Linked DNA regions of Arabidopsis thaliana. The protein of the gene in region 3 interacts with the protein of the main gene of each other region in a pairwise test. Each region holds a gene or a part of one and is shown on either strand. Other genes may lie near its edges.

What was found.
Region 1: the proteins of AT2G01060 (region 3) and AT3G50650 interact in a two-hybrid assay, tested with the Arabidopsis thaliana proteins (one large-scale study listed by BioGRID).
Region 2: the proteins of AT2G01060 (region 3) and AT5G66770 interact in a two-hybrid assay, tested with the Arabidopsis thaliana proteins (one large-scale study listed by BioGRID).

The regions. Positions count from the first base shown.
Region 1 is NC_003074.8:18,803,798-18,813,782, forward strand, and holds AT3G50650 (GRAS family transcription factor), read right to left. Parts: upstream 4,447-9,985; 5' UTR 4,304-4,446; coding exon 2,675-4,303; 3' UTR 2,342-2,674; downstream 1-2,341. Other genes in the region: AT3G50640 (uncharacterized protein), read right to left, coding at 230-273, 386-842. UniProt on the Arabidopsis thaliana protein: Probable transcription factor involved in plant development. Involved in environmental abiotic stress resistance. May increase the expression of stress-responsive genes. Binds DNA in vitro.
Region 2 is NC_003076.8:26,655,726-26,666,487, reverse strand, and holds AT5G66770 (GRAS family transcription factor), read right to left. Parts: upstream 6,178-10,762; 5' UTR 5,766-6,177; coding exon 4,011-5,765; 3' UTR 3,569-4,010; downstream 1-3,568. Other genes in the region: AT5G66790 (Protein kinase superfamily protein), read right to left, coding at 1-209, 306-350, 593-1,307; AT5G66780 (late embryogenesis abundant protein), read right to left, coding at 2,292-2,365, 2,473-2,597, 2,695-2,861; SDH1-1 (succinate dehydrogenase 1-1), read right to left, coding at 9,264-9,404, 9,496-9,616, 9,711-9,780, 9,879-10,049, 10,132-10,306, 10,415-10,602, 10,726-10,762. UniProt on the Arabidopsis thaliana protein: Probable transcription factor involved in plant development.
Region 3 is NC_003071.7:69,427-79,657, forward strand, and holds AT2G01060 (myb-like HTH transcriptional regulator family protein), read right to left. Parts: upstream 6,084-10,231; 5' UTR 5,764-6,083; intron 5,482-5,763; 5' UTR 5,477-5,481; coding exon 5,359-5,476; exon of another isoform or gene 5,160-5,358; coding exon 5,083-5,159; intron 5,000-5,082; coding exon 4,957-4,999; intron 4,872-4,956; coding exon 4,814-4,871; intron 4,717-4,813; coding exon 4,647-4,716; intron 4,525-4,646; coding exon 4,030-4,524; 3' UTR 3,782-4,029; downstream 1-3,781. Other genes in the region: AT2G01050 (zinc ion binding / nucleic acid binding protein), read right to left, coding at 1-458; AT2G01070 (Lung seven transmembrane receptor family protein), read left to right, coding at 6,170-6,354, 6,432-7,353, 7,454-7,549, 7,719-7,855, 8,049-8,199; AT2G01080 (Late embryogenesis abundant (LEA) hydroxyproline-rich glycoprotein family), read left to right, coding at 8,612-9,220, 9,664-9,750.

The DNA.
Region 1 (9,985 bases), on a different chromosome or scaffold from region 3:
GTATTACACACAAATCTTCACTGGCATTAAAAAATAGAGATGTTCCACAAAATGATTGATTCCACAAACAAAACAAAAACTTACAAGAACAACAAAACACGTGAGCGAGAAGAGTTGTTGTAACTTGGAACCATCTTTGTCCAAAGACCTTTTAGATACAGTCAATCTAGATTATCATAAATAATCTAAATTAATTTCTAGAAACCAAAGTGGGAGCTCTAAACTTTCTTCATCTTGTATCTGCAACTTGACACTCCCTCGTTGCAACATTTCCTGATCAGTCCAAAAGATTTTCACTAGCTCATATTAGTATTGGTTTGGGAATCTCCGGTTATCCAAAGAAGAATAAAAATTTCAAAACAGAGGATTGTTTTTGTTTGTATACCTGAGATTATTTTGTGATCTTGACTTAACACTTCCTCATTGACTTTATCAGTCTTCTTAGATCTAACATGGGTCCTCTTAAGTCCCAAAAGCTCCCTCCACGTGCCCTTTGTGGAAAAGGATGAAGAAGACAACAATATTGGCCTGAGGGAGAAAGTGTTACCATCGACCATAGAACCCTCCTCTTCAGTAAGAAGCTCTTCTCCTAAGGTCCTATGGACGTGACTGGTCTCCTTAAAAGGTAAAATCTTTCCTTTGAGGAAGATTTCATCGGCGGGAATCATCGAGTAATCGGTGACTGAGAAAGCGAAATCAGCTGAGGGCATGGAGAAAGAGCTTCTCGAGTTGATGTTGTTGCTCTTAGCATTACTCTTCTCCGATCTGATCTCGACAAACTCGTTAGAAAAAGAGATTCTAGCAGCACCATTCATGGAGTTGTGCATTTCTAAGCGTGCCATTTATGTTTTTACTCAATGGCATATAGAATGAGAGATCTAAGCCATTGAGTTATATATAGGATAAGAAGTTGGAATGAGATTATTAATGTCCAACTCATAGATCCATCAAGCTTGATCTATATGACTATATTCTATATACGAATATTTGACCGAGAGATTCTAGCAAAAAGTGTTTTATAATAGAACCAAAAAAAATAATGTTGTAGATTATCATTCATTGGCAAAATGTTGTTGATCTTCGTATCTTGAAGGAGTTAAAGATCACATGGAGGCACGTGAGAAACTATCCATTTGTCCTCTGTTATTTCTTGTTCTATTGCTTACCATCAAACATACTACTAACTCAGTGATATGTCGACAAATATGGGCATAAAATGTTGTATTAATATCTATTTACATATGAGGTAACGTGCAGTCAAAGGACCAAGGTTGTCAATCATGTGCTTGGAAGTTCCATTGAACATTGTTTATCCCACACGTCGTCGTGATGCGACTCCGCTCATGAATGATTGGTCAAAAAAACAGTTTCATCTCATTATAGGAAAATATCAACGCATCATTGCTTGAACCTTTTTTCTTAGAGAAACCGGTAAACATTATTTCATGGCTTGCAATTTCATCGTCTAAGTTGAATTTCATATCATACATAGTCTGCTCGATATCCAAAGGTGTTAGTTTCCACCAATACTTTAGTTATTTGTAAATGAAACGATTTACTTTTAATTTTATGATGTATGTGAAGTTTAGAAGTTTCTAACTCAAAATCAATTAGTTATAAATGGATTGATCTATATATTACTTTATAGTCTATATCATTTTCGATTTCTAATTCAAAAGCACTTAAAATGAGTGGATTAGATCATTTTTTTTTTAATTTTTATTTCAGGTATCATCACACTTATAGATGTTGGATTCCTAACCATGATTTTCTAAAAAATGAAAAATCAAGCTGGCAAATTGTAAGCAATTAGCTGTGAAGAGTCAAGACTTGGTTGGGTTATTTGCAAAATACTTCTATGTATTGTTTTTGTTTGTGGCTAATATAAATAAAGGAATGGGACAGAGATTAGGCCTGTTTATTTTGGGCCAAGCATAAACAGAGTGGGCTTTTATCTTCGTTAGGGAAGTAAAATTTACTATCAGACTCACAGACAGAGTCAGAGTAGTGGCTGAGAGATATAGGAAATGGGGACCAAAAGACCACTGAAGAAGAAATTCGAGAGTTGACGTCATAGTGGCACGTTTGAAGTTCGAACAAAGAGAAACAAGACTGACACAGAAAGATTGAAATACTTGTCAGTGCGCCTTCGTATTTTTGGCTTTTACTTCACTGACAAATAATTATGCTCCTATTTTATTATTCAGTGAATGGTACAGAAAACATTGGTATATAATTTTCATGAAGTAAACAAAACTATATTAGGCAAGAAAAAGTGGAGACAAAATGATGAAAAGGGAGAAGAAATGGTGTGTTAGTGAAAGATCTTAGTGCAATTCAAATTTCAGTCTCTTTTATGGGACCATAATACTCTCATTTCAAAATCAAACTTCATCACCTCCTTTCCTCAATTTCAGGGGTTAATTCTAGTGTTTTTTTCATTCACATGAATTTGGTTTAGCTTCTTTCGTTTATACCAAAGAAATCTAGTCAAATGTTACATACAATATATATTACAAATGAACATAAACGACAAACCATCATCACTCCAAGCACTAGATAAAAAAGAGTAAGAGAATAGGCTAGAGACTAATTAAACATCCAAATCTAACCCCAAACAATTCAATTCTAAAAGCTAACTCAAAATACTAGATTAACTTATCGGACCAAGTAGTCAACGCCAAGAGGAAACGGTGAGGAGAGGCACATTGTTCCAAGCCAAGGAGATGAAACCTGGCTCCGATTCAACAAGTGAATACAATGTACTATAATTGTAGTTCCATAGTAGCAGCTTCGCTTGGCTAACCGCGTAATTACTCGGTTTAACCGGCTCAAATCCAGCTTTCTCCATCAACACTCTCCATTGTTCTTTCTCCTCCATTAACCCAAACCGGGTTCCCGGTTTATTATTATCATCATCTGATCGGACCAAATCCATAATCCTCCTACCGAACAACACTCTCTCCACTCTCAGCCTTTCTTTCGAATCTCGATCCAAATTCGGTTCAAGCGATTCAAAAACCGCGGAATAAAACCGGAGAGAGTTCTTAACCCGGTTAGCAAATTCAACCCGGTTTAAACTGACTTCGTATTCTCCAAGCGTCACAATCCTCGGGTTTAACGATCTAGCTAACCGGAGCGCCGTACCAACAGTCGTCGCTGTTTCATCTAGAAGCTTATAAAGCTCAAGCATAAAATTCACAACCAAAACCTCATCCGGGTCAACCCGAAAACTTGACCCGTTTAGTAATTGAATCGGAGTCAGAACCGGATAAAACTCGAAATTGAGATCCAAAATCGCCGCGAAATCACGGAGACGGTTTCCCGTAGCGATCAGAGACGGTCCCGGTGAGTCTCCTAGAGACGGAGCGGGTATACCCGAAATCCGGATCCGGGTGGGTTTACCAGAAGAACGGGTCGCTAAAGCTTGTAACAGAGCAGACCATTGAATACCTTGAAAAATCCCGAAATCGACTATGTGAATGTTGTTTGATTGATTCGTAGCTTCGAGAATTGCTTGATTCGCTGTTAAATGAGCGAACTTTGAATATGGACATGCGTCGTTTAAGGTTTTGTATGAGAGAATGAAATCTTCTAGGGATGACGACGACGATGACGACGGAGACTCTGTTTCTTTATGAGACAGAGCTTCTGCGAAGTAATACCCGACTCGTTGTATCGGGTCGCCTGATTCGGACACGGATTCTTTGATCCGAATTAGTGTGTCCGGTTTAGTTTCCGGTTTACGTGCATAATCGTGGATAGCTTTAAAAATCGGCTGGTTTAGATCAAAATCCGGCTGCGGCGGGGGAGGAGGAGGATGTTGTGGTGATGGCGGAGATGGAGACCATATAGCGGTGGAAGCTGGTGGCGGAGGGAGTTGTTGACTCGCTGAGTCATCTTTGTTGACTCGGTTGAGATATGAAGGAGCACTGAGTCGACTCGGGAATGAGACGAATGGATCATGGCCGTAGATTGGGAAGTCTGGATTGGTTTGTGACGCATCTCCACCGTTGATCAAACTCTCCATCCACTCGTCGGAGTCAAACTCCTCGGAAGCGACGGCTGCGTTTTGATGATGCTCCAGGTGTGGAAAGTGAAAACCTGGGTCGTTGGTTACTTGAAACGGGTCGGAGAAACCCGAACCGGGAAGAGTAAACCCGAAGGATGGATTGGGCCAGGGGTTGGGTTCTTGTTCTTGTTCTTCTTGTTGTTGATGTTGTGATTGTTGTTGCTGCTTCTGTTTGATGAGTTGTTGTGCTATAGCCATTAAGTTTCCGCTGTCGGTGCACATATACGCCATTCTCCGACTCACTTTCGCCGGCGATGAAGGCGTTTTTTTGTCTGTTATTTGGTGGTGATTGAGTAAGGCCCAGAGAGAGAGAGGGATATGAATGAAACCGGAGAGATTTTAGTAGGAAGAAAAAAGTAAGAAAGTGAGTATTTTCATTTTGATTTATCATTTTCTTTTTTTTTGTCATCCGATTTATCATTTTCGAGTACTGTATTTTTAATCAATTACCACTTTAGTTTAAAAGTACAAAATTACGTTATTAACTGCAAGAAATGAAGAAACTATAAAACCAACAACAACAACAAAAAATGAAGAAACTAACTAACATAGTTTACTAAAAAACTCAGTTTTGTATTTAATTATTTTCAAGAATTTAATAATAGAAATGTAATTTATCAAAATATCAATTGAATAATTTCTATATCTCATGAATTTGTAGTTTCGTATAATCTTACAAATTTATTCAGAAACCTTTTGACCAAAAAATAAAAAATACATAGGTTTTTTTTTGTTAAATAATTATTACCACTCTGTTAATATGGGTAAAAAAAAGAGTTGACGTTATGAAAAAAAAGAGAGAGTAAAACGATATCTCACTTATGGGACCCACAGACACGATGACGTCATGTATCGGCAGTTACGTATCGAAGAGTGTGACCTCATCTCCACCGTCTAGAATCAGATCAATGGCTTTGGCTGAAATGGTGAATGTGACACGTCGACAACTGTCTTCTGCTACTTGTCACCTGCATGTCGCCTGCAACTTTTCTGTCTTTTTTCATTTTAACTAACAGTATTATAAAGGTAAAAAGATTGATGTAAGAAAAGTAAAAAGAATTAGGTTATTATCTTCTGCTTTCAAGCCGCAAAGGTCAAGGTTTTTCAAAGCTGTTTCTTATCAACTAAAAGGGTCGTTAAATTGGACTTTGGTTAACAAATTTCAGTGACTTCATTGGTTTAGTTTCAGTTACTTTTGTAAAAAAACCTTTCGACAAGTTAAGCTAACATCTTGAATATGACTTGAGCAAGCAAAAATTAAACAATAGACATGTTTTATTTGTATACGCATGTCTTTTTTATCTCAACGTTAGTGTTGTGGAGGACGGCTTGTGGGTCCGTAAGTAGGCCCATATACAATGGAGCAAAAGCGATTTGTGGCGGGCTCTACTAGTATCTGTTGTTGGTGGACGAACTTTGACGAAGAAAATGTAGTAGCCATTAGCCAAAAGCTAAAAATTACACAAAAATACCAAAAAAAAAACACAAGCAAAGAAGAAACAAGAAAAGAGTCCAAAGAGGATTATAGAATTTAAAAGTCTTTCAATAACAAACCAAGTTTTATGAATTATCATTCATACACGACGCATAGTTCGAGAATTTGCTTATTTGAGGTTTGAGTGTGGAAGCTCTTTGTGACTTTGCAATTTCTAAAAACCTAAAGCGAATGAAATAGAAAAGAGCAATAGCGAACAAAAAGCACATGGGAACGACACTTGACTCTTTGAGACATCACTCTTTTCATTTCATCGTTGTATCCGCGTCAAAAGGCCTACTTCTCCACTACTTATAACTTAAATATCTAAATTACATTACTAAACATGGTATATGGTCCCTGGCCCAAGTCTACTTTTGATTTTCACTTTTGACATTTTTTACTACAAAGTGCCATGGACTGTTCTAAATTGGTAATGATTTCAACAAGGAGAATGAAGAAGATGATATTTTTGAAAAGGACTTGTCTTTGAAAATGGCAATCCCACTTTAGTGTTTAACCATTGCACCTATCTGCAAGTGGACTTGGAGAAAATAGATAGAGAGAGAGAGAGAATGAGTGGTGTATGAAAAGGACATGAGTAAGAATGAAAGGGTTTGATTTGTCTTTTCTTTCTATCCAAGTCATCGGTGGGGTTTCTTATGTATGAACAAAGAGTGGCATTGAGTCATCCCCAAGAAAGTCTCTCTATATATTTACCATTTTTGTCACATTCTTTGCTTTTTTTTTTAAATACTAATTTTTAGTTTCAACTCTTACCAACTAAAATTTACCTATTTTTGTCTCCTCCTTAGCTTTTTACACTTATTTTCGTTTGAACCTTTAATTAACCAAAATATATTTACTATTTGAATCAGTTAAACAGAAATTATTAAGTCAGTAAGAAAAATATATATTTGGTGACGATTATCTCATACAAAACAGAAAGAGACTTTTCAAATGACAAGTGGCCTGTCCAAACACTAAACTTTTGTACCTTTTATTGACCAGCTAACTCACTTTCTCATCCAAATTTTAGTTAGTTAAAACAAAAAAATCTCAATGCTTTTCCTCGTTTTCTGAATATTATTCGGCTAACCAGAAAAGAAAAAAAATACTTGCGGGCCAAACCACGAAAATCAATAAACAAGGGCTTTTGGTTGGTAAGTCTCGATTTCATCACCGAGGGTGTTCATGTGAATAAACCTATACTTCAAAATATCGAACCATTTCGTCTTTCCAATATCTGCAAAATTAGAGACAATCAATCAAATTCAAAGCCATATTGTTGTTAACAAAAGAGCAGTATGATGAACAATTGAACATCAATATAATTTATGAATTATCTAAATCTTCTCATTTGGATGATTTCAGATCAAGTAAAAACTTTATGGGCCGTAATTATCCAACAATATGATGGGCCGACCTAATCGAGGAACACGGGGACTAGTTGGCGTAATCAGCCTCCAAATATTTGGAGGCTTCTGTTTTTGTTTTATTTAATCATATTTTATTTCACTGTAAATAAATGGATAATACAGTGTGTTAATCAACCATATGTCTATCTGCACTGTTTTTTTTTTTCTTTTTTCTTGGCATTTTAATTAATTACAATTATATAATTTTTGGTAAAGTACAATTAGATAATTTAACGTGTCACCTGATTACGTATTTAAACCCTAACTCAACCACAGATTTTTTTTTATCACTCTCTAATTGTCTCGATCAATCCGTCAAAACCATGTATTACGAGGGAGAAGATTTCAGCGGTAAGATATCATTATCTATCTTTAGGGCCGATTGGTAACGACTGTTAATTTTGGTTGTAGAGACTTTCGCTGTAGGAACTTTGACGGTAAAAACTTTGATTATAAAAATTTTGACTTTAAAAATTTTAACAGTATAGACTTTAACGGTTAAAATCTGATAGGTAACACCAAAACTGTAGAAATTGTAACTGTAAAACTTATAATTTTAAATAATATAAATTATAGCAAATATAACTCGAACTGTGATATAACAACTACATTCACACAAAAAAACTTTATGGTAAATTTTTTATACATTCATATTTCTTTGCTTTTGCATCAAATGTAATATTTGATGTTCTTTAATATACATAAGTGGATCTTAAAAGAATATAAATTAAACAGTAATTATAAACATTTATCAATGAATTCCATAGGAAATTTTGTATAAATTACGATTTTAAAATAACTACCAAATATATAGGAAAATAGATTTTAAAAGAACAAGAAAAAAATCAATTATAAATCAATTAGATTTTTTCAAAAAATAATTTATTTGTGAAATGTTATGAGAGTTTATATACATATTAGAAAGAAGAAGAAAAAAACTATAAACTTTTTATTTCTTTATTTCTAAAGTCACCTATACGTGATTTTCAAAAAATATTGAAAACAAAGAGTTTAAGAAAAAAAGACTTTAAAGGCTTTAAAATTTATGAAAACCAAAAATGTTTGATTGGGTTAAAAAAACTTTTAAAACTTCTAAAAACTTCTTAAAGTCTTAAAAGTCTAATCCAATCACCCCGTCTATCTTTCTTTTCTCCAAATTGTTTGTTAAAATTTCAAGATTCTTGCCTTCAACAATCATCGGAAAGAAAAAAAGATTATTTTCCCTCATATTTTCTACCCAATAGTACAATGACACGTATGAGTCTCTTACAAACTCTAAAAACTTTAATTTAAGGATCGTCCCTTACATTAATTATCAGTTTTGATTTATTTTTTAACTTTTTCGTAAGAATTTTATGCTTAAAGACTCCTATAGAAATATTATTGGAGGTGGTCTTAGGTTCTTAGCACGCACAATCAAAAACAAACAAATCCAAATGAGAAAGTTTATTTGTCTCTAAATTTGTTGAAAACCATGTTTCGACCCTCCAAGAAAGACCAAGGTAATTAAGGATATTGAGTTTATATTTCTCTATAGTTTCACTAATTACTATAAAATCTTAGTATTCATCCATCTCGTTTTCTATATTGCAGAAGCGAAGACGACATTGTTATGGGACATTGACGATTGCCCGAGTCCAGATGTTATCCAATTTGGTGCTATTCATGCACATTTTATGATTCTCTTCGTTTTCATGGTTCACACTCTATTATTGCTTATGGTGATGCGAAAAGGCTTTTAGATGATGCAAGACCAAACATAATTGAGTTCAATCAAGTACCTTTAGGTAAATTTTATTCCACACTCTCTTGATCGTTCTAGTACTTTGTGTCTTGAATCTTAACTCTGTTTATACGTATATACTAGCAAGTTGTCCACAATGAGTGAATTATATATATTCAGTTTTATTTTTGAATATGGAATGATATTTACATAAAATTATATATATAATTTATCTATAATTGTTAATATAACGCTCGAAAATAATTAAAAATATTAATTTTGAAGTTTATAAATTATGATGTGTTTAAAAAAGACACTTTAGTTGCGCAAAAGTCTGCAATGCACTAAAATTGTTTTTATTTTATTTTTGTTAAAATGGTTTGTTTCACTCTATAAAAAACTTAAAATTTTCAGTATTACTTTTTATTTTAATTTTGTTAAAATGATTTTTCCTCCAAAGTTGTGTATATATATTTCTTATAGTGTAATTTCTTCTGTTTACTATTTTAACCGAGCTAACATTAGTTGATGCATTGCATTGAGAAAAAAAATATAGAAGAGAAGATGAAAACCTTCATGAAATTTGAGAATTTGCAATATCATACTTTATTAAAAGAGTTTTTTGTTTATTTTTTTTTATTTTTTTTTATTTCAACTTTTTCTAATCGACTAACCAAATGGGGACGTGGTAGTAAAAGAGATATGATATGGAGAGTCTCTTTCATTTGATACAAAACACATCTGTGTAAACAACTTAAACCGTAGTTTATCTTTTACTTATGTTTTAGTTGTATTTTCCCTTTTTTTTGCTCAATTTTATTGTTAATTGTATTTTTCATATAAAAAACAATAAGACGTAAATTCAAAATCATGTTATTAAAACTGATGAAAACAATTAAGTCAATCCCTTTTTTTGTAAGTTTTCAAATCATGATCTTAAGTTTTAGAGAGTCTCCTTCATACAGATCAATACCGCTACATCCTTCTGTAAGTACCGAAGCTTTGGCCTGAACTAGGACTTGGAAAAGACCCTGTCTTCAAAAGAGGAGACCCATTGCTTGGTAACGAGGATTACTTTACTCGTCTAGAAGAGGATCCTAAAGATGATGAGATAGAAGAAGTAAAAACGAAACCCTCTCATTTAAAGGAATAGGACCCAAGAAACAGTAAAAGCTCCTCTCTCTTTCTTCTCAAAATAAAGAAACCATTTTATGAACCTTCTTATCCTGAGAGCTATTGTTATTCATTTAGTCCTTTTGACACCTAACTCTTTGTGTCAATGTAACACGATAAGAATC
Region 2 (10,762 bases), on a different chromosome or scaffold from region 3:
TCCGGTTCCGAGCATGTTCTTGTCGGAGAAACTATCGGTAGCTTTCTCAATCTCTTTGTAGGTGTAGAAAGGAACACTTGAGTTTCCGGCTAGCTCGCAAAGCAAGCGATTCGCGATTGATGCTCTTTCAGATGACGCAGATTGCTTGTTCCGGAAGAAATATGTAGCTATCAAGACCACGATTACTAAAACTCCAACCAAAATCCCCGCTATAACAAAAACACAAAACATTCAACTTTTCGAGACTTAATTAAACCGCAACTAATTGATACTTAACCGAATAATAGGATTAGTAATTTACTTACCAGTACCAAGAACAACGAGTTTGTGTAGTCCTTTGCGTTTGTAAACTGAAACCATGACAGTTAAAAATAATTAAGAGAAATATCTTTTCTTTTCATTTTTTTGTCGGAACAGAAATATCGTTTTGTTTTATTGTTTATCAAAAAAAAATCATTGTCAACTAATTTCTTCCGCCAAGTTTTGAAAAGTCAGCTTTTCCTCCTTGCTAAAAGCGTACGTGTCATTGTACCATTGGTGTATTTGTATGTCGGTCAAGATTGGAAAACAAAAGTCAAAGACCGGAACGAACCTAATCGGTGGCAACCACCAGGCACGGTGAAGGCTTTACCGCTAAATCCTTCACGACAAGTGCAGCGATGACCGAGTCCACCGTCGTCGAGCTTAACTTTGGCACAGTCTGCGTTCTCCGAGCAAGTGGTGTTACTGCAACTTCCCTTAAGCCACCAATCAAGCTTGAGTCGACCCAAATTGACCGAAACTTGCGATTGAGAAATAGAAGAGAACCAATACTTACATCCACTTCCGTTCACAACGTCGCCTAAACTCATCACATCGGCAGTTGTCGTTGTTGCTCCGTCGAGACAGCTAACCGGAGATTTACATTTGCTGAGATTTAACCGGTTTTCAACGAATTTATTGCGGATTAAGCAATTAGAAGACTTGTTCTGTTTCTTGCATCCTTGGACGAGAATTATGTTCTGTAATTTCGACGGAGCAAGATTTTCCCGGAAAAGTTGTTCGATTTTACGGATGTTGCGTTTGCAAACCGGCGGGATTTCGACGTAGATGTTGGAGTTTGTCACTTCTTGCACAGCGAATTCACCGATCACGGCCTCTCCGGTTATCTCAGAGCAGTTGAATCGGATCGGATAACCGTCGGAGAAACCAAACGGGTAACGGAGCAAACTTGTTTTGCACTTAACCGAACCGGTGGTTTGTGTAGCAACGGTTAGAGTGAAGACGAAGAAGACGAAGATGAGATACGGTTGAGGAGTTTCTGCCATGGAGAGAAAGAAGGATAATGATGAGATCGAATGATTGTCCCAATGGCAGAAACTGTAAATTCTGCAACTTCGTTTCCGGTTTTTATGTAATTTTTAAGATATGTTTTTGACTGTTTCGTACTTTCGTTACTACCAGCGGGTTGAGTTGACCTTGTATTATAGTTCAGAGTCTGAACTTCAGACCATTGAGGCATTGACCAACTGCGAGCTGATAATAAGGGGGTAGTCTTGACATTTTGGCTTTAACGTTCGTTAATCATGCATCATAGCCTCGTTAGGTGATTGATTAAATGAAATTTGCCCCCAGTGTTCGAATAACTACAGATATGATACTAACCAATAATAAGAGATTGTTAATACAAATATGTGCATGTAACTATGGAAATAAAAATTCAATTCTTTGTACGAAGCAAGTGTAGAACACTAAACAGTAGAAGCTAAATCTCCTCAACTCTGTTTTGAGACGTACGATAAGAACTAAAAACTTGTTGAAAGTTTTGAAGTGCGAACTTGGAGTGAATATTCCAACTTCTAAGACGTTACTAATAACATAAATTATGAACACGCAACACACCAGCTAAGTTCCATCAGCATTGGAGTTTCAGATGAATTTACCAAATTTATCTTCGCTGACGTTACTTTTAACGTGTTGCATCGGAATCGAAAGTCCGAAAACAGGCTAATATTCATTGCTGACGTTATCTAAGAATGTTTTCCTCGACGGTTCAACTAAAAAACCGTAGATTTGTTCATAAATAAACAAACACAGTCAAATTAAGGGAATGTTCAACAATCAACAAAAACTACTAATTCAACGAGTGTTACAAAAGTGATAAGGATAACCAACAAAAACCCGGTAAAGGTTACGGGTCAAAAAACGCAATTAACAAAAAAAAAACTCTAACCAGAGTCTACGAACTACAGAGCACAAGTCTGATTTTATTAAAGCATAAAGAACAAAGACACTAAATCATCATTTTTTCTTTAGCAGTGGGATTGTGTCTGGTTCCTTGCTTTCTCCTTCTCCTTCGATTCGCTACCTTGCGTTTTGTCGTAATCTTCAATAACATGAAAACACACACACACACACCCAGAATCGTAAACAATAAAAGTGATCATATAAGTAGTAATAAACGTGTATATGATAACTAACTATTCTGAGTACCAGGGTGATTCTCATGGATCTCGTTTTCCTTCTGAAGTGTTTGATTTCCTCCATAGATTCCTCCAAACCCTTCTTCGTCAGACCTTGTTGCGTACCCTTCTCCATAAGAATGCGACATCACGTCACTGCTCCATCAAAGTAAAGAAGAGAACGAAATTTTTTTTGAATAACATCCAAATTACGAATCAGAAACAACTACACACATATGGGGAGGAGACGAACCCGGTTTTCTCGTTTGGATTTTCAGGCTTTTTATCCATCTTTTGCTGATCAGAAGTGGTGGCAAAACTAACTCCAGTGACTTTCCGGCCTAATCGAGATGGTGTTGAGCAGAACGAGACGGTGGTATTCGAGGGCAGTGATCGGATAGTCTTAAAAGCGTTGATCATTTCTCTGCTTTTGGAGGTTTCTTGAAGCTTAAATTTATAGAGTAAGTAGTTTTTATTCTTACGAGGAGATGATAAGTTTTAAATTAAAACCCTTTAGTAAGGTAGAGTTAACGAAGTTAAATACGTCAGGTTTAAGCTTAATTAAGCTTTCCTGTCTTCCGACATAATAGTACGACGGTGTCCTGATCAGAGTTTGCCTCGTGGTGCTCTGGTGACAGGTGGCGGGACTTAACAAGGATTTGAATACGTGTTTGTCAGGACTGTGACATGTGTTGAGCGCTGCAACGGGTTCAGATTTCTATGATAAATCCTCTTTTAGCAACTTGGGCCACCAAAAAATCTAAATGGCCCAAGTAAGTTGGGCTAGAACAAGTCGGTAAAGACATCGAGAAAAGAGGGTGGGAGCCACGTGACCGTTAAAAGAAGACGGATGGAGGACGTGGGAGTGATGTCATCATTGGCACACTCAACAAAAAAAAGTAAAATCAGTACAGTGACTGAGACTGACACTGAAAGACTCAAATAGAGCAACTGTGGCAACTTTGACACATAAGAAACAAAAGAAGATGAAGTTTGTTTTAAAGTGAAAAGAAAATGACACTTATAAATTCAACACACATCTCTTATTCATGTAACTTGTATTTGTTATATCTTTGCAAGTATTGACATTTAGCTTTCATAAGTTGTACCATGTTCAGATATACTTATGTATAATGGTAGATATTCATATATCAAAACTACATTTCATCACTTTTTTGAGCAAAATTACAAATAAAAGAGTAGTTACAAATATATTTGGCTTTCAACTTCCTAATTTTATGAAATAGTAATTACATCTCAAACAGATGACCAGAACCGGTCACTTTATCCAACCAAAAATAAAGAAGCAAACCAGTTTAAATTATCTAATGAGAAAACAACAAGACTAAGACCAGTTTTTAAACCTAGTTCACAAATCCAAATGATGTTACCAAAAAACACATAAGGTTCAGAGAATTCAAAACCTACCCCTGAATTAATTCAACGTTCGAACTAAAAGAAAAACAAAACACTCTGACCACGGAGTATATTAACAATTGAATATTTGTCTAACCAAAAATAACATTGAAAACAAAACAAAACTAAGAATACCGGATCGGTTTGGTTTGGTTATCGCCAGGAAGAAAGAGTGAGGAGAGGTAAATCGTTCCAGGCCAAAGAGATGAAGCCAGGCTTAGATTCAACAATTGAATACAAATTGCTGTAATTGTAATTCCACAATAGAATCTTCGCTTGGCTCACTGCGTAATTACTCAGCTTAACCGATTCAAAACCGGCATTCTCCATTAATACCCGCCATTGCTCTTTCTCTTCCATTCTTTCTCTATGAATTCCGGTTTTCTCCGGTCCAATCAAACCCGAGATTCTCCGGCCGAACAACTCTCGCTCAACTCTCACTCTCTCCTCCGAATCACGCCCCAAGTTCGGTTCAAGGGATTCGAAAACCGCGGAATAGAATTGAAGCGCGTTCTTTACCCGGTTAGCGAAACCGACCCGGTTTAAGCTCACTTCGTATTCTCCGAGAGTGACGACCCTCGGGTTCAACGATTTGGCGAGCCGTAGTGCGGTGTCAACTATCGTCGGCGTCTCGTCGAGTAATTTGTAGAGCTGGAGCATGAAATTCACGGCCAGTACTTCATCCGGGTCGACCCGGAAACTTGACCCGTTAAGTAAATGTATGGGAGTGAGAATTGGGATGAAATCGAAATTCAGATCCAGAACCTTGGCGAAATCACGGAGGCGGTTTCCGGTGGCGATTAACGACGGTTCCGGAGATTCACCGAGAGATGGAGCGGGTATACCCGAGACCCGGATTTGAGTGGGTTTACCAGAAGTACGAGTAGCTAGAGCTTGAAGAAGAGCAGGCCATTGTATACCTTGAACGATTCCAAAATCGACGATGTGAATCTTGTTCGACTTCTCCGTCGCTTCTAGAATCGCTTGATTCGCCGTCAAATGTGCGAATTTGGAGTAAGGACAAGCGTCGTTTAGGGTTTTATAAGATAAGATTAAATCCTCCGTAGATGAAGAAGAAGACGACGTCGCCGGCGAATTAGGAGACAGTCTGTTGGAGAGAGCTTCCGTGAAGTAAAATGCAACTCGCTCCGTCGGATCACCTAGCTCCGATACAGATTCTCGGATCTGAAGAAGCGTCTTGGAAGCTTCGTTAGGGTCAGAGTCTGAGATCCGTGCACAGTCGTATATAGCTTTGAGGAGAGGTGGTTCTAGGTCGAAGTCATCGTCTTCGGAGTCGTTAGTCTCTGGATCTTCTTTGGTTGGTGACTCATGAGTAAGCGGAGGAATCGATAATGGCGAAGAAGGAGGCCACAAGGTCGGCGGAGGAAGCGGACTCGACGTGTCAATGACTCGGTTTAGATCTGACGGTTGGACACTGAGTCGACTCGGGTAAGTATCGAATGGATCAGGACCGTAGATTACGTAATCGGGATTATCATGCCAGGTGTCACAATCAGGACCGTCTGCAACGGAGTCTCCACCGCTGATAAGAGTCTCCATCCACTCGTCGGACTCAAACTCGCCGCCGCCGGTTCCACCGCCGAAATCAGATAACCTGAACCCACCGCCGGTGGTTGTGGCGTGGTGGTGGTCTAAGTTAGGAAAAGGAAAGCCAGGATCGTTGGAATCTCCGCCGCCGGTAACTTGAAACGGGTCGGGAAAAGCCGAACCTGAAAGCCCAAACCCGAGGGAAGTATTGGGCCATGGGTTAAGAGACAAAGGATTAATACCAAAAATCTGATGGTCTTGATGATGTTGCTGCTGTTGTTGTTCTTGTTGCTGCTTCTGTTTGATGACTTGTTGAGCAATAGCCATTAGATTGCCACTATCAGTGCACATGTAAGCCATTCTTAACGCCTAGATCTAACCCTCCCGGCGGTCTATAAAAACCACTGCCAAACATGCAGATTTGCGGTCACTGAAGAAGAGGATGATGACCAGAGAGAAACGGCGGGATCTCAAGCTTTGGATTTTAGAAGAGAGAGAGAGGTAAAGAGAGGAGAAGAAAGAAAGGTCAGCCCTAGAAAGTGGATCAACGTTTGATTAAAATCTGACCGTCTGATTTCATTGTGGGTCCACACATTTTTCTTTGTTATTTTTAAGACAATGATATTTGTAACGGTAATAATACCGATATAAACACACCACATCTCTTAACCAATAACATATTTATGCATACATTATAGAAATCATTGGATCTAATTCCAAATTGTTAGTCTCCTAAGAAAGAAATAGAGAGATATGTACAAGTTACTCCCACATTAGTTTTTGTGTGTAAGAGAATGTTATCATAGTTTTACATTGTGAACTCGTCATTATCGATTCATCCGCTAACAAGTTTCTGAATTTGAGTTCACAATGTTGTGTAACATTTTTTAAAGACGATATGACATATAATGGCCGAGGTTGTTCATATTAATGTCTCCGTTTGGGATATAACAATGTAAATTTGTTCACGTGACGCACACTCTCGCGCCAAAACAAAAATTAAACAGATTTTATAATCAAATACTAAAAAAATGTTTGCTAAATAAAGGAATAGAAGATAAAATAAATTAAAGAGAGCTTTTTTGGTGAGTGAAACGCTCAGTGGGAGGAGAGGATATGACGAAGCTATGGGTCCTTCTTCATCACTAGACAAATAAACTCGCTCTTTTCCTTGTCAATATTGATATTACTTCTTTCATGCCTCCAAACTATACCATATTTTCAATAAATTCGTACCGTATATAAATCTGGGTTAAGATAGATGTAAAATATGTTTACAAAAAATGAAATTAACCTAAAGTTTAAGAGTGATGAAGATTCAGAAGACTGAGAAGTGTATGAATGAAAACAAATCTCTCATCCCGCTCTTTTCGAGGGACCCGAGAGGTGGGGTCCACCACTGTCAACGATGACGTCATCATACTGTAGGGTTCCTCATCTCTGCCGTTGATCTCTGTAATGTGTATCTTCTTTCCCATCACAAACTGCTCTTGACTCTCAGTGACTCACCTACCTCCTTAATTATTCATTCATAGATAAATAAATAGATGGTCTTATTTTCATGGTTACCAAACAAATTAAAAGAAGAGTGCAATTGATGTGAAAATTACTTGTTTGTATATATATCCAAACATTAACATCATGATACAATATAGACGCACCATAAAATAATTAATTAAAGTAAGACATAATCTCAAATTGTATTGTCAATTTATTCATTGACAACTTGTTATATATATATGAGACTGTGTGTGTGTTATAATTTATATATAGTTTGTATGAGGGTGACAGATGGGCCCATGGATCAGCCCAATATACATGTAAGTTCTAAAATATGACACGGAAAAGGAATCGCTGGTGGGGCCTTTTTAACTGTTATTGGATCGATCTTGCACAATTGAAGCAACCAATCTTAAAATTAGCTTTTAAAAATTACCCAAAAATGAAAAAAATAAAACAGTATTTCCAAAGCTTTTAAAAAAAATAATCTGGAGTGTTTTTAATAGTAACACATACAGTAAGGGAAATATAATCTGACAGCTTTTCATCTTTTCACATATATAATTAGAATTTTAGAACAATTGAATCCTATAGAATTTAGTTTTTCTAATGTGTGCAACAACCATACTAAGTGCAACGATCACCAAAAATTAAAATGTGAGTTTGTGTTGGATATTTAAAGTATTTTGGTTGAACAGAAAATAAAGAAGGATATAGTTAAAGTATTTTCTTTTTATAAATGATAATTTGCAAATGTGTTTTTTTATATAAAAAAAAGTGAGTGGGAAAGAAAAATATGCAAAAAACAACGTTTTAATCTCTCTGGCTTTTCGACTAACCTCTCTTTTGTGTTGCACTGCACCTTTGTCTCCACGTCAAAATGTCACTCACTTCACTTTGGTGACCCACTTCTTACACATCTCTCTTTCAGTTTTTACATAAAACATACAACAGTCTCTGAATATACAGCACTAGGTGCATAGTGTTTTTCAGATTTCTTATGAACTATATTAACATAAAAGCAGTAGATAAGGTAATTTCTCTACAATTTGGTTAAATTCATTGTGTAAAAAGTAAATAACAACAAGAATTAGTTTTTATTCTAATGAGTTTTTTTTTCCGGGTAAAACTCCATATATTCTAATAAGTTTTGTATGTCTATATATATATATATGAATCTTCCCCCATTAAGCATAAGTTCCGTAACCGGTCAAAGTAAATTTGAAAAAGATTTTTTACTTTAAGATAAGGATAAGAAAAAGAAAGGTGTATGAGTGAGTAAAAACCCTACTTTATTGACAAGGTTAGATGAAGATTAGACAATTTAATTACGACATTCCTCGATTTCTCTTTCATACGTTGCGTTTTAGGCATTGCTAAGTCAGCTTTGTGTCGAAATTTTTTAATTAACTATAATTGATTGGGTTTTGGAATTGTTAAATGTGAAATGAGCAGGTTAATAGATAAGGTTGGTTGGTGAAGTCGACTGGTTTAGTTTAATTTGTGTGGAGCTTTCTAATTTTGTTATCGATTGGTTCTAATTAGGAATAACACACACGCATGCGGAAAAATATAATATCTTATGGTTGGTTAGTGTAATATTGAACTACATAATTAGTCGAATTGGTGTGGGGCTAGTTTCTAAGCTTCAAGGTCGTAATCATAGATCATTTTTGTATTTACATTCACCGACTGTATCTTCAATTTGCATATGTGGAAGAGCACTTTTTTAGTATACGCCATAAGCAAGTGGACGACTTTTAAAGAGAGATACATTATAAAGGTCACATTTTCTACGGCCAACATTATCATCTAGCGACGACGATCGGACCAATCTAAAACTCGCTCAGATACGCAAATATTGAACAAAAATATTTGAAATTACCCCCACTTGTAGGCCTAAAAAATGCCTTGACTGATCCGAATTTACCTAAAATAAAATTTTGTTCAGACAAGAAAAAACAACCCAAATTTTGTTTTTCTAATGGTCACAACTCAAAATTGTATCTCGTGTTCTGATACCTATTATCACCGCAAAATAACTTTCACGGTCGATACGGAATTCGAACATTTTGATTTAAAAAAAAAAAATGAATATCACCAAGGCGTAATTAACAGGTAACAAAGAATGTAACAATTTCAGGAACTGATAAAGAAAATAAGAATTGTAGTGTTTTTTCCTCTTTCTATCAATTTATTTTCATCGTTTCTGGTGTAAAACGTAAACCCAGTTTCAGAACAGTCCTTTGTGCTCCATCAGCTCATAACTCCGTCTTCTTCTCCTAATTCCCTTTTTTTGGGGGGTTCCTGATTATTATTATTATTCCGATAACAGATAAAATAAAAACATGGGCTCGATCAATAGACACGAGCTTTGGGAGGGAAAGTGTCGATCTCATCGTCGAGAGTGTCCATGTGAACAGGCCTATAATCCAATCTCACTTTCTCATCTTCCCAATATCCCAATGTATGCTTCATCCATTCTCCATCCTCTCTTTTCTGCATACACACGCATTCATTTATACTACGTTATGGTTTCATCATTATGGGATAATCAATCATTGTGGAAAAGCTGAGCAAGGAATCAAACCGTGAAGTCTTCCCGAGCATGTGCTCCTCTGCTTTCCTTTCGTGCTTCTGCTGAATGCATTGTTATGGATGCGTTTATCAAAAGGTTCTCCAGTTCCAATGTCTCTATCAAATCCGAGTTCCTGCATTTTATTCATAGTTTCCAAGATTAACAAGAGTTCACCAGATTTTATAACAGTGTGATAATCAATCCCATGTGAATAGAGTCTGTCTTACCATATCATACTCCGATCTTTCACCTGGACGTCCCCAAAACTTTCCCAGGCCTTGTCAATCAACTGACAACCTGTGATTGTTTCACGGTAATAAATTGTAAAGAAAATGGATTGCAGTTGCAGGTGAGAGAATTAAATAAATGCAGAACAAGTTCAGATCACTGTTTACCTTCTTCCAATGTTTCTTGCGTGCGGAACACAGCTGCGTTGTTCTGCATAATCCTCTGCATGTTCAATCTGATAGTTGAAGTAGGTAGAGACCCGTTTGAGTTTCTCAACCTGTCCAGCCATGCAATAGTCTTCTCACCCGCATCCTTCTCAAGAGGTTTCTGTTTCTCCCCTGCACCAATCGAATAAAGAAAAAAAAATGATCAGAAGAGACTTATCTTTTATAATAACAGCAGTCCTCAAAAAAGACTAACCTGGTTTGCTTATCTCTGCAACCCTATTTGCACAAGCACGACCAAATACGACAATGTCGAGCAGTGAATTTGCACCAAGCCTGTTGGCACCATGAACAGATGCACAAGCTGCCTCCCCAGCAGCCATTAGCCCAGGAATCACTGCATCTGGATCATCGCCTTTGATGGTAACTACCTGCAGGATTTAACAGAATAACTTTCAGAGCTAGGCTTCTAATCCATCTCATGCTTAACTCCACACAAATTTCAGCAAAGTTTCTTAAATGACTTTTCTTATTCTTACCTCGCCATGGTAGTTTGTTGGGATACCACCCATGTTATAATGAACCGTGGGTAAGACAGGAATTGGCTCTTTGGTAACATCAACACCAGCAAAGATGGCAGCGGTCTCAGAGATTCCAGGAAGCCTTTCTTTTAGAACTTCTGGAGGAAGATGATTCAGATGGAGATAGATATGATCCTTATGCGGTCCTGGAAGATATCAGCAAAAAGTTGTCCAGGGTGAGAATCAAACTAGACTGATCACAATATCAAAGCATATCATGTAATGAGAGTTCACTCTGAAAATAAGAAGTAGTTTTCAGTGGAACATACCTACACCACGACCTTCCCTGATTTCCATAGTCATGGA
Region 3 (10,231 bases):
CTTGACGACCAGTCTTGGACCAACAGATAGTTCCCAAGAACTCTCCATGGACCTCCGGTTAAAGCAGCCATATACTCCTCTTCCAGTTCAAACCTAATCATGAAAAACTGGCGGGGCAAATCCATCACTGTCATCACTCCCGACGGTTTCCAAAGCTCCCTTAGCTTGCGATTCAACACCGAGATCGGAATCTGGCTCCCAAGCACCTTCACTATCATACACTTCTTCCAAAGCCCATTCATGGCTTCCAACACCTCCTCACCAATGGTAATAACTGGCTCCTCGTCCTCACCATCTGGAAACTCCAGCCCCACCCGCTCCCTCACAAACTCATCATCAATCACGTCTTCTGGTTTCAAGATACCTCCCCCAGCACTACCCTTCACTTTCGTAGCCCACGACTCCAACTTATCCGGAGGATCCCCTGGTGGACGCCCCTTTTCTCCGACGTCAAGCATCATAGCATCTTGCTCACCAGATCTCACCGCCGTCGCAGAATAATTATATTAAAATATACTGTATATAAATGTTAGGATCCCCATGATACTTTTATCTAAAGAAATGTTAGAATACTTACGGATTTAAGATATATATAAATCCAAATTAAATTTTCAATTTTAATATTTTCTTCAACAATTTTAAATAATTATATTAAAATATACTGTATTTTCATATTAATTACGAATTTATATATATATATATATATATATATATATTAATTAGATTTAATTTTTTAAATTTAATTAATATTTCAAAGATAAAATCAAAATAATTATATCACTTTCTTAAAAAAATGAACAGTTCAAAAATGTCCACTCTGTAGAAACTCGTGCATGATTGGTTGGGCTTTAAATCTGACTTACAGCCTTAATTTTTCTTAAAGCCCTATTTTCTTGCTAACTTACAAACCAATGGTGTTGTAGCTTTCTTTTTAAACTTACAGCCCAAATTTTTTTTATTTTGTTTTTAAGGCTGTACTAGAGTAAATTCTCAAAGCCCTATTTTCTTGGCTATAGAAATTTTAATTCATTAGATAAATACAAAAAAAATTTATCAAAATATATATATAACAAAAACAAAGATAAATTCTAAAAAAAAACTGATAATTATCAAACCTAAAAAAAAAAAATTATATTGCAATAAATTTATGGAATAATCATAGATAAAATTTAGATTTATTTTATTAAAAATTCATAGGAGTTTTTTTATTTTTATATAATCATAATAAATATATCTAAGTTAGTAATATAAGACATTTTATTTACTATAAAAAAAAAATTTTATTACAACTATTATATTTACTTATCATTTTTTTATAAATATTTAAAAATAAAAACCTACAGCAGTAATTCTACAGCAATAAAAGTTACAGCTACAGCCAACACAGCTACAGCAAAATCTCTACAGCGAAAATTCTACAGTTACAGCCCAACCAATCACCCACCAAATATAAGTCGACTGTTTTGATATAGTCGGTAGAGAAAAAATTAAGTCGATGAAAATAAAATATAAGTCTACTAAGATTAAACAAAAAGCTGATAATTCAAAAAGTCTATCTTATTAATAAATCAACGTAAAATAAAATAAGTCTACTAAGATTAAACAAGTCGGAAAAACAAATTATAAAATTAATAATTAAAATAATAAGTCAACAGTTGAAAAAGTCATCTATGTAAGAAAAACAATTAACCAAAATGTAAATCGACTGTTATAAAATAAGTCGATGAAAAATAAATTTAGTCGACAAAAATAAAAGAGAATATTACATCAAGGGGCACTTTTTAAAAACATTTGACGTGTTCCAACACTTAAAAAACATTAGACACTTTTCCTTGTTAAAATGACTATTATACCCCAAAATTATTAGTAAGGCATATAACTGACGATTTTCTTATTTTTAAAGTCCAATTTCTCTTTAATCTTTTAGAAAATCTCAATATTCAAAATCAAAATTGAATCTCTTAGGGTTTCTCATCATCTACCATATTTCTCAACCATCTATCGCTTCTCTTCTTCTTCTCTGGAGATCTTTAAATACATTCATGAATCTGATTCTAAATCTCTGAAAGTCTCCAACTTTATTACAAAATTTGGACAACAGATACATGAAACATATGACGGTTTCTGTGCACTTCTCCTCCTCGTTTGACGACGTCGTTTATGGCCAAAGCCAACAACTTTAATTTCATTGTGTCCCCTTCAATCCATTACAGTCTATGATCCAATACAAATTACGAACCATTTGCTTGTTATCAACAACATTGTATCATATTCTCAATAAAATGTTTGTTGATGGATCTTGTATTAAAATATATAAAACGAACTGTTTAGATAAGTCTATGTGGCCAGTTTATATTGGATACACAATTAGAGACATTTCAGTTTGTAGAGACCTCCACCTTCAAGATCTTATGAACATGGAATTTTGGTTTTTTTACAAACCACAGTTAATCGAATCTTCTGTTATTATGGACATGGTATATAGAATGGATATGGATCAGTAAAAAGGTTTCTGAATGAATATATCTTAATGGACTTGTTATTATGGATACAAAACTATTGTTTGTTGATTTTTCTTTCAGTTTGCAGAGACCTCCACCTCCAAGACCTTATGGACAAGAAAATTTGGTAGCTTTACAAACCACAGTTAATCGCATCTCTTTTATTATGTACATTGTATAATGAATAAATATGTATCAGTAAAAAGGTTTCTTAATGGATATACTTAAATGGACTCGTTTTTATGGATATATTTAAATAGACTCGTTATCTTCTTTTTGTCTTCATGGGATTTAATCGGACGACTATTGTTTAATTTTAGCCCTAGATCTCGGCTGAATGATATTTCCGACGGTACGAAGGCTATGAAAACCAGATCTTCAGGTAACATTTCGATCATCATCTTCCCGAAGAAACCGAGTTCGTCGGAGATGTCGTCTCCGAGTTTGCAGAGATGGTTACCAGCGGCGAGAGGTGTTTCCGGTAATTTAAGAAAGGAGAAGATGAGTATAGTTAAGGAAGAAGCAGTGATGAGAAGAAATAGGAAAAACATTGGATTCTTCAAAAAATGAGGTTTCTTCATCGTTTCTATTGCGTTGATTTCATGGATAGATGTCTGCTTAAGGAGAAAGAAGAAGGAAGAAGATCTGAGAGAGAGGAAGACCTTTTTCATCAGATATAAGATTAAAAAAAAAGCAAATTTCATTTCTTTTTAAAGAAAATATTACGTGATTAGACAGTTATTTGGAAATGATATAATTGTCCTTTTTACCTCCAAAAACAAAGAAAAGTGCCTCATCCCTGAAAAGTGCCTCAAAAAGAATAAGATTTTGTAAAAGTGTCTAAACGTGTCACATTCCCAAAATAAAATATAAGTTGTCAATTCAAAAAGTTCCTTATTACACTGATATACTAAGTATTTTCTTATAGTAGAAAGAGTGTTTTATATGAAAGCAACATTGTTTCTTAGAAAATATTAAATTTTTATTTTGTTGATCCAAAATAGTTTATTTATATTTGAGAAATTTAATATATGAGAACTGTAAAATACAACGTTTGGAGAGAACGTAACACTAGAAAATACCATAAAGAACACAACCCGTGCACTCACCTCATTACCGTCATCGACAAGACCATTCGAGATCGCATCACCAGTCTTTATTATCAAGGCACCAGCAAATATGCAAACCTTCAGAACGGTGCAGGCTTCACTAACGTGATAATTTGTAATGTTCTGTTTTGAGATCATCTCCAGGCCTAGCTAACTTTATGCTAGGTTATTCAGCTGTGTATGTTTAAATGCGGCATGCGTTACTGTTTTGATAAAGTAGCTTTAGAAGAATGTAGTGTGTTGGGAATAAGAGTAATTTTGTTTTGTGTTTACCAAATTACAGCACAACACAGACATATTCATTCTTCATGCTCGTGATAGTGCCTAGAGAATTAACGACTTGTGATCACATTATTAGAGGAAACTCCTAACTAATAAGGATTAGGATAAACAACACTACATGTGGTACACTCAACAACTCAAAGATTATCTCCTGAAACCTTATCCAACTGTTCTTCGGCCCCAAGCAGTGATGTAGATGGCTGGTCAAAGGCGAGGACATGGTCTGACTGATGGTAAGAAGTGTTCAAGCCTGATTCTAGTATTGGGTGACCCACTACAATATCAGGTGTATAACCAGCTGCACCTCTCACCAATCGAGGCTTCTTTGATAATCTCTCCTCTCCTGTGCTCTCATCTGGAGACCCAATGTTACACCCTGAGTCTGGTGTTAAAGGCTCCCGGTAAGATGAGAGAGACTCGTCAACTGAGAGACTTTTGTCTGGTCCACAGTCCTTGCCAGACTTGTCTTGAAGAGGAGACTCAGATGTTGGGGCAGGGGTTGCAGGATCTGAATCGCCCGTTACTGGGGCTGAGGGTTCGCCGAGTACTCCACTGAGTCGTTGTTGCTCTTCAATTATCTTCTTCAAGTACTTTCCTTGTGCTTCTATCCGTAGTTGCAGCTGTCTTTGCACCTAAGAAAAAATCACATCAAAGAATAATGTCATATGTAATGCAAAATTCAGTGCTACACTGAAAATCCTACTAATTGTTTCGTTGTTGCTTGTCTTTCTTAAGTAGGAATGGTGAAGCATACTTCTAGTTGCTCGTGTAATCGTTTCTGAACTTCCATCTGCAACTTGAGGGCTTCAGTTATCTGCATTCCCCTGTAATCTCGAAACGATATTGATCACTTAATCTGCGGCGCGAGGTAATATATATATAGCATCACAAATCAAGCTCAAAGAGGGAAATTTCACGTACGACGAGCCGTCCAACCCAGAGAGCATATCTCCAGATTCTTTCTTATCAGTTTTTTTCCCTGAAAATTGAAAAAACCAGTTTTCAGGTATATAGGAAACTGGTAGAATGAGAAAGAAGATGAAGAAAATCAATGTCCACACTACCTTCAGAAGACGAATCTGGAAGATACTTTGCAAGTCGATATTTCTGACTCAAAATACACAAATGCAAAAATCAGCAAGGGTAAGAGAAAGAGAGACGAGACAAGATGCCACACAGTTTGAGAATACCTGTAAGTGACTCTTGACATGATATATAGTTAAGCCTTGTACACCCATCACTCTAAGAACGCCTTTGGGTGTAGCTCCTTTGGAAATCAAAGGAAGAAAAATGTTTAGGAACCCTAAGCAAACAGACGATAGGCTTTCCCTCTCATGGATAGTAGTAAAGCATACAAGAAGAGCAATTTGATTATATTGGTGTGCATATTATTACCACAGATATTGATGAGGAAAACATGAGTTACTAAATTTACCATAGACTATACAAGAAAAAAGGAAACTTACTATCAGGGCCACCAAGTTGAGCAACGGCATCAACGAAGCGTTCATGTAGCTCATGCGTCCAACGCAGACGTTGTTTGGATGCATGACTAGAATTGGGGCCTCCGTTGTCTGCTTCCATCAGGGCTAAGATATAAACACGATAAAGGGAAAGTAATGAGTAGTGGCAAAGCTAGGAAATGATAACATATGAGGACTGGCCAGAGAGAAAGAGATAGAAATGGAAACAAGGAAGACGAAATAGCGCCCAGAATTAGCTAGTAAAAACAGTCCAAGTCAAGTTTAAGACTTGCTCCGGCAGATCCACCACAGGACACCAAAATCAGAGACATGTTCACTAAAATCGGAGGAATTTGTCGCCGAGAAAGCAAAAAGAAAACACAATCCAAGGTTATGGAATCTACGAACCTGTGGGTGGTGGATCTATACACGACGCCCCTCCATTTTCGGAACTTGCTCTTCTCCAAGCTAAATCTTATCTGAAATAGAAGATATTGTGTTACAGACTAGTTTACTGAGTCCGGTGGGTTACAGGGCGGGCGGCGATGGAGCAGAGTCCTCCTCAAAAAAATTCCAGTCTTCTTCTTATCGCTCGATCGACGAATTCCAGGCAGTGGCATTGACTATTGCTGCATTTCTTTCTGGGTAAGCCGGGCCTCTCGGTATAGGCCCAAACCATTCTAAGGCCCAAACCATTATATTAAGTTGGTTGGTCCACCAAAGTCAGCAGCAGCTAGAACAAGAGCGACTCTGCAGCTGCTCTTCTCCCGCTTCCTTCCTGTTAGTTAGCCTCAGAGATCCTCGTTCCCCGATAATGGATTTGGGAAAACTGATCCAGCTGTCTGCGCTGCTGTGCCCATTTCTTCTATCATTACACTTTAGAATCGCTGGGGCCTCCGCCCACATCTACTCTTCCCAGCCCTTCCACGATGTCGGTAATTCTCTCCTCCTCTACGGTGGCAGCGAGGGCATCTTCGCCTCTTCCCGATCTTTAATCAGGTATATTCTATGGATTACATTTTCAACTCTTTTGATGCTCTCTACTCTACTCTACTCATCCTCCCTCCTCACTGCAGGTTTGAGAACATCACTCTCTGGAGGACAATTACCGGTAAGGGCCACCGCAGCAATGGGTTAGTTCAAGCAGTGATCTTTGAAGCCTCCGATCGTAACAATATCGGTGGTTCAGCTTACGGAGGCCAAAGATCTATTTGCTGCACTCCAGATCTGGCCAAGCTTCAAGGCTGTAAGCAGGGTGAGATCATTAGGATTCCTTCTCCACATGACCCTCAATGGCCTATCCTCTTACCTGTCCGCTTTAAAGGAAAACGCTCGTCTGCTAAGATGGCAGACACTGAGATTCTTATCACCAAGACTGGAATCTATAATCTCTTATTCATATCTTGTGATCCACAACTTAAGGGCCTCAAAATGACCGGAAAGACTGTTTGGAAAAATCCCGACGGCTATCTTCCTGGTAGGATGGCTCCACTCGTGAATTTCTATGTCTATATGTCTCTCGCTTATTTGTTGCTCAGTGCCGTCTGGTTCTTCCAGTATTTGAGGTTCCGGATGGATATATTGCCACTTCAACATTGCATTACTGCCGTCATTCTTCTAGGATTGCTTGAGATGCTCTTTTGGTACTTGGATTATGCTAATTTTAATCACACGGGGATGAGGCCTTTAGCCCTTACTACATGGGTTGTTACCATTGGTGCCTTGAGAAAGACTGTTTCCCGCATTCTCATTCTCTGTGTTTCCATGGGATTTGGGGTTGTCAAATCTACTCTTGGTGGTCTCACTTCTAAAGTCCTCCTTGTTGGAGTTACTTACTTCATAGCTTCTGAGATCCTTGATATTGCTGAGCACGTTGGCATCATTGACGATATGTCCGGAAGATCAAAACTTTTTCTTGTCCTTCCTGACGCCTTCCTCGATGCATTTCTCATATTGTGGATATTTACCTCTCTTTCGAAAACACTGGAACAGTTACAGGTATCTCTTTCTTTCTAAATATAGCCATCAGACTCTGTAAGTTGTAAGGGTTTTGAGGCAAGATTCATCAGACCAGCTATAAAATTCTTTATTACTGCAGATGAAAAGGACCTCGGTGAAGCTGGAAATTTACCGCAAGTTCTCAAATGCACTCGCTGTGATGGTTGTTGCCTCTGTTGCGTGGATAGTGTATGAGGTACCATCCTGTCAAGCCTGATTTGATGCTGATTTAGTAAACTCAAATCTTACCTCTAGGAAACAAACTGCTCAACTAAAACTGGCTTTGTTTCAAGCTAGGAAAAAAGAAGCTCCTTCTTTCTTGGAATATACCCAGCTTGCTTGCCTGATGATTTGTCCCCGTGCAGGTGTATTTCAAAGCAACAGATCCATTCAATGAACGATGGCAGACTGCTTGGACTATAACTGCCTTCTGGGATGTTATCGCATTCTTGTTGCTATGTATTATTTGCTATCTCTGGACCCCCTCGCAGAACTCCCAAAGGTATGTTACATCAACTTAAAAGGTTTTGATACCTCTCGGGCATACCAACAAATAAGCATGGTTTTGTGGAAACGGTTTCAGCTGAGCATGTTGTGGGAAGTCTTGGCTACATGCTAGTGGTTCTTATGTAGTGGTCCAATTTTGGTGTTCCTGGGTGTGATAGGGATGCTAATATGAAACTAATGATGGACAGATATGCATATTCGGGAGACGTGGATGAAGAAAACGAGGAAGCTCAATCTCTGACAGGGGGGAAGCAAGATGGTGATATTAGCTTAGTTAAGCAAGAGAAGAATGCGGAGTCGGACAGGGAAGAAGATGTTGAAGAAGATAAAAGAGAGTGAGGAGAGTCAGTATAGAAACGACGTGGCATCTGTGTTTGATCAAGAGTTGACGAAAATATAAATATCAGCAAGAGGTCAGCTATATAGCACAAAGCAACGACGTAATACATATATATGATGTAACTAAAGGATAGTAACTGTGTGTTTGTATTTGTTTGTTTTTTTAATATCAGATCCAACATTTTTTGAGTCATCTCTAACCCTTGTCTGAGTGTGAGATTTGCCTAAAATTGCTGTAAATTACATTATTGATATTTTTATTGGTGGTTAAAATTGTGAAACATTAATTTGTCAATAATACTAGAGTCCAGACACGGAAACAGGGTCTCTCTCTCTTGTTGTGTATAATTTCAACACCGCTATTACAGAAGAAGAGTGAAAAGGGAGAGGGAGCTTCCTGCTTTCACTTACTATGCCTCCTCCTCCTTCTAGTTCTAGAGCAGGTCTCAACGGCGATCCGATTGCTGCTCAGAACCAGCAGCCGTATTACCGGAGCTACTCATCGTCGTCGTCGGCGTCGCTGAAGGGATGCTGCTGCTGCTTGTTCTTGCTGTTCGCGTTCCTGGCGCTGCTGGTACTGGCGGTGGTGCTCATCGTAATACTGGCGGTGAAGCCGAAGAAGCCGCAGTTCGATCTGCAGCAAGTGGCAGTGGTGTACATGGGGATCTCCAACCCAAGCGCTGTTCTGGATCCAACCACCGCCTCCCTCTCCCTCACCATCCGGATGCTCTTCACCGCCGTCAACCCAAACAAGGTCGGAATCAGGTACGGTGAGTCCAGCTTCACGGTCATGTACAAAGGCATGCCACTGGGGAGGGCGACGGTGCCTGGATTCTACCAGGATGCGCACAGTACGAAGAACGTTGAGGCCACCATCTCCGTCGACAGAGTCAATCTTATGCAAGCCCACGCCGCCGATCTCGTCAGAGATGCTTCCTTGAACGACCGAGTGGAGCTCACAGTCCGCGGAGACGTGGGGGCTAAGATCCGAGTCATGAATTTCGATTCACCGGGTGTTCAGGTTCTTCTCCCTTCTTTTCTCCCCGCATTTTGCTCGCTCAGCGATCTGGCCTAACCAGCGCAGTGTGAACACTTTTGACAAAGAAATTACCACACTTTTTGAGTAAAAAATGCGGGTAAAAAAAAAAAAAAGTGGTTGCTAAGTTAAATAGATTCCTTACACCACTAGTCATGCTCTTGTCTGTCCCCACTCTGCTTTCCTTTTGGCCTTTGCTTCTCCTTCACTTTTGATATTTTTTCTAGGATCATTCATCCACGTCTATGCCACCACCTAAAAAGCTATTATATGTTATATATTGAGGTGTAAATTACGAACAACGACACCATCTCCTTCCTTTCACTGGTTTATAGTGTATTGATTTAAACTAATAATTTTATCAAAAAAAAAATATATATATATATAAAAAGATTCACTCTGCTTGCTAATATATTGATGCATTGCAGGTATCCGTGAATTGCGGGATAGGCATTAGTCCCAGAAAGCAAGCTCTCATTTACAAGCAATGTGGCTTTGATGGCCTCAGCGTCTAATTCCAAAACTGTAACATAATAATATTATTATATATATATTTGTACTGACTACTCCCAACTGCAGAGGAGTTGCAAAAAAAGATCCAGCCAAACTGGTAAAGAAATGTAACAAGATCCATCCTTCCCCTGCCTTTTTTGGGAAATTTTTGTTTCTACTAGCAACAATGTTTGTTTACCATAGATACTAATCAGTAGTTTACTCACGCTGCAATCGCTTGGCCTATCTAAAGTGCATACATTTCTGTTAATCAATTAGAGATATGCACTCATTTTCCCACATGGACAGTTACGTCAACACTCAAGTTGAAATGAACTGCTCCTGAATTGACATATGGTTTTATTACTGATTTTCTTGACGAGAGCACCGGCAGATTCAAAAGTAGTCTCAGAATACTTAGTCTTGGTTAATATGTAACTGAAATGACCCGAGACTATTCTTTTTGGATTACATATATGAAGATAAGTGATCAGTTCCTACATC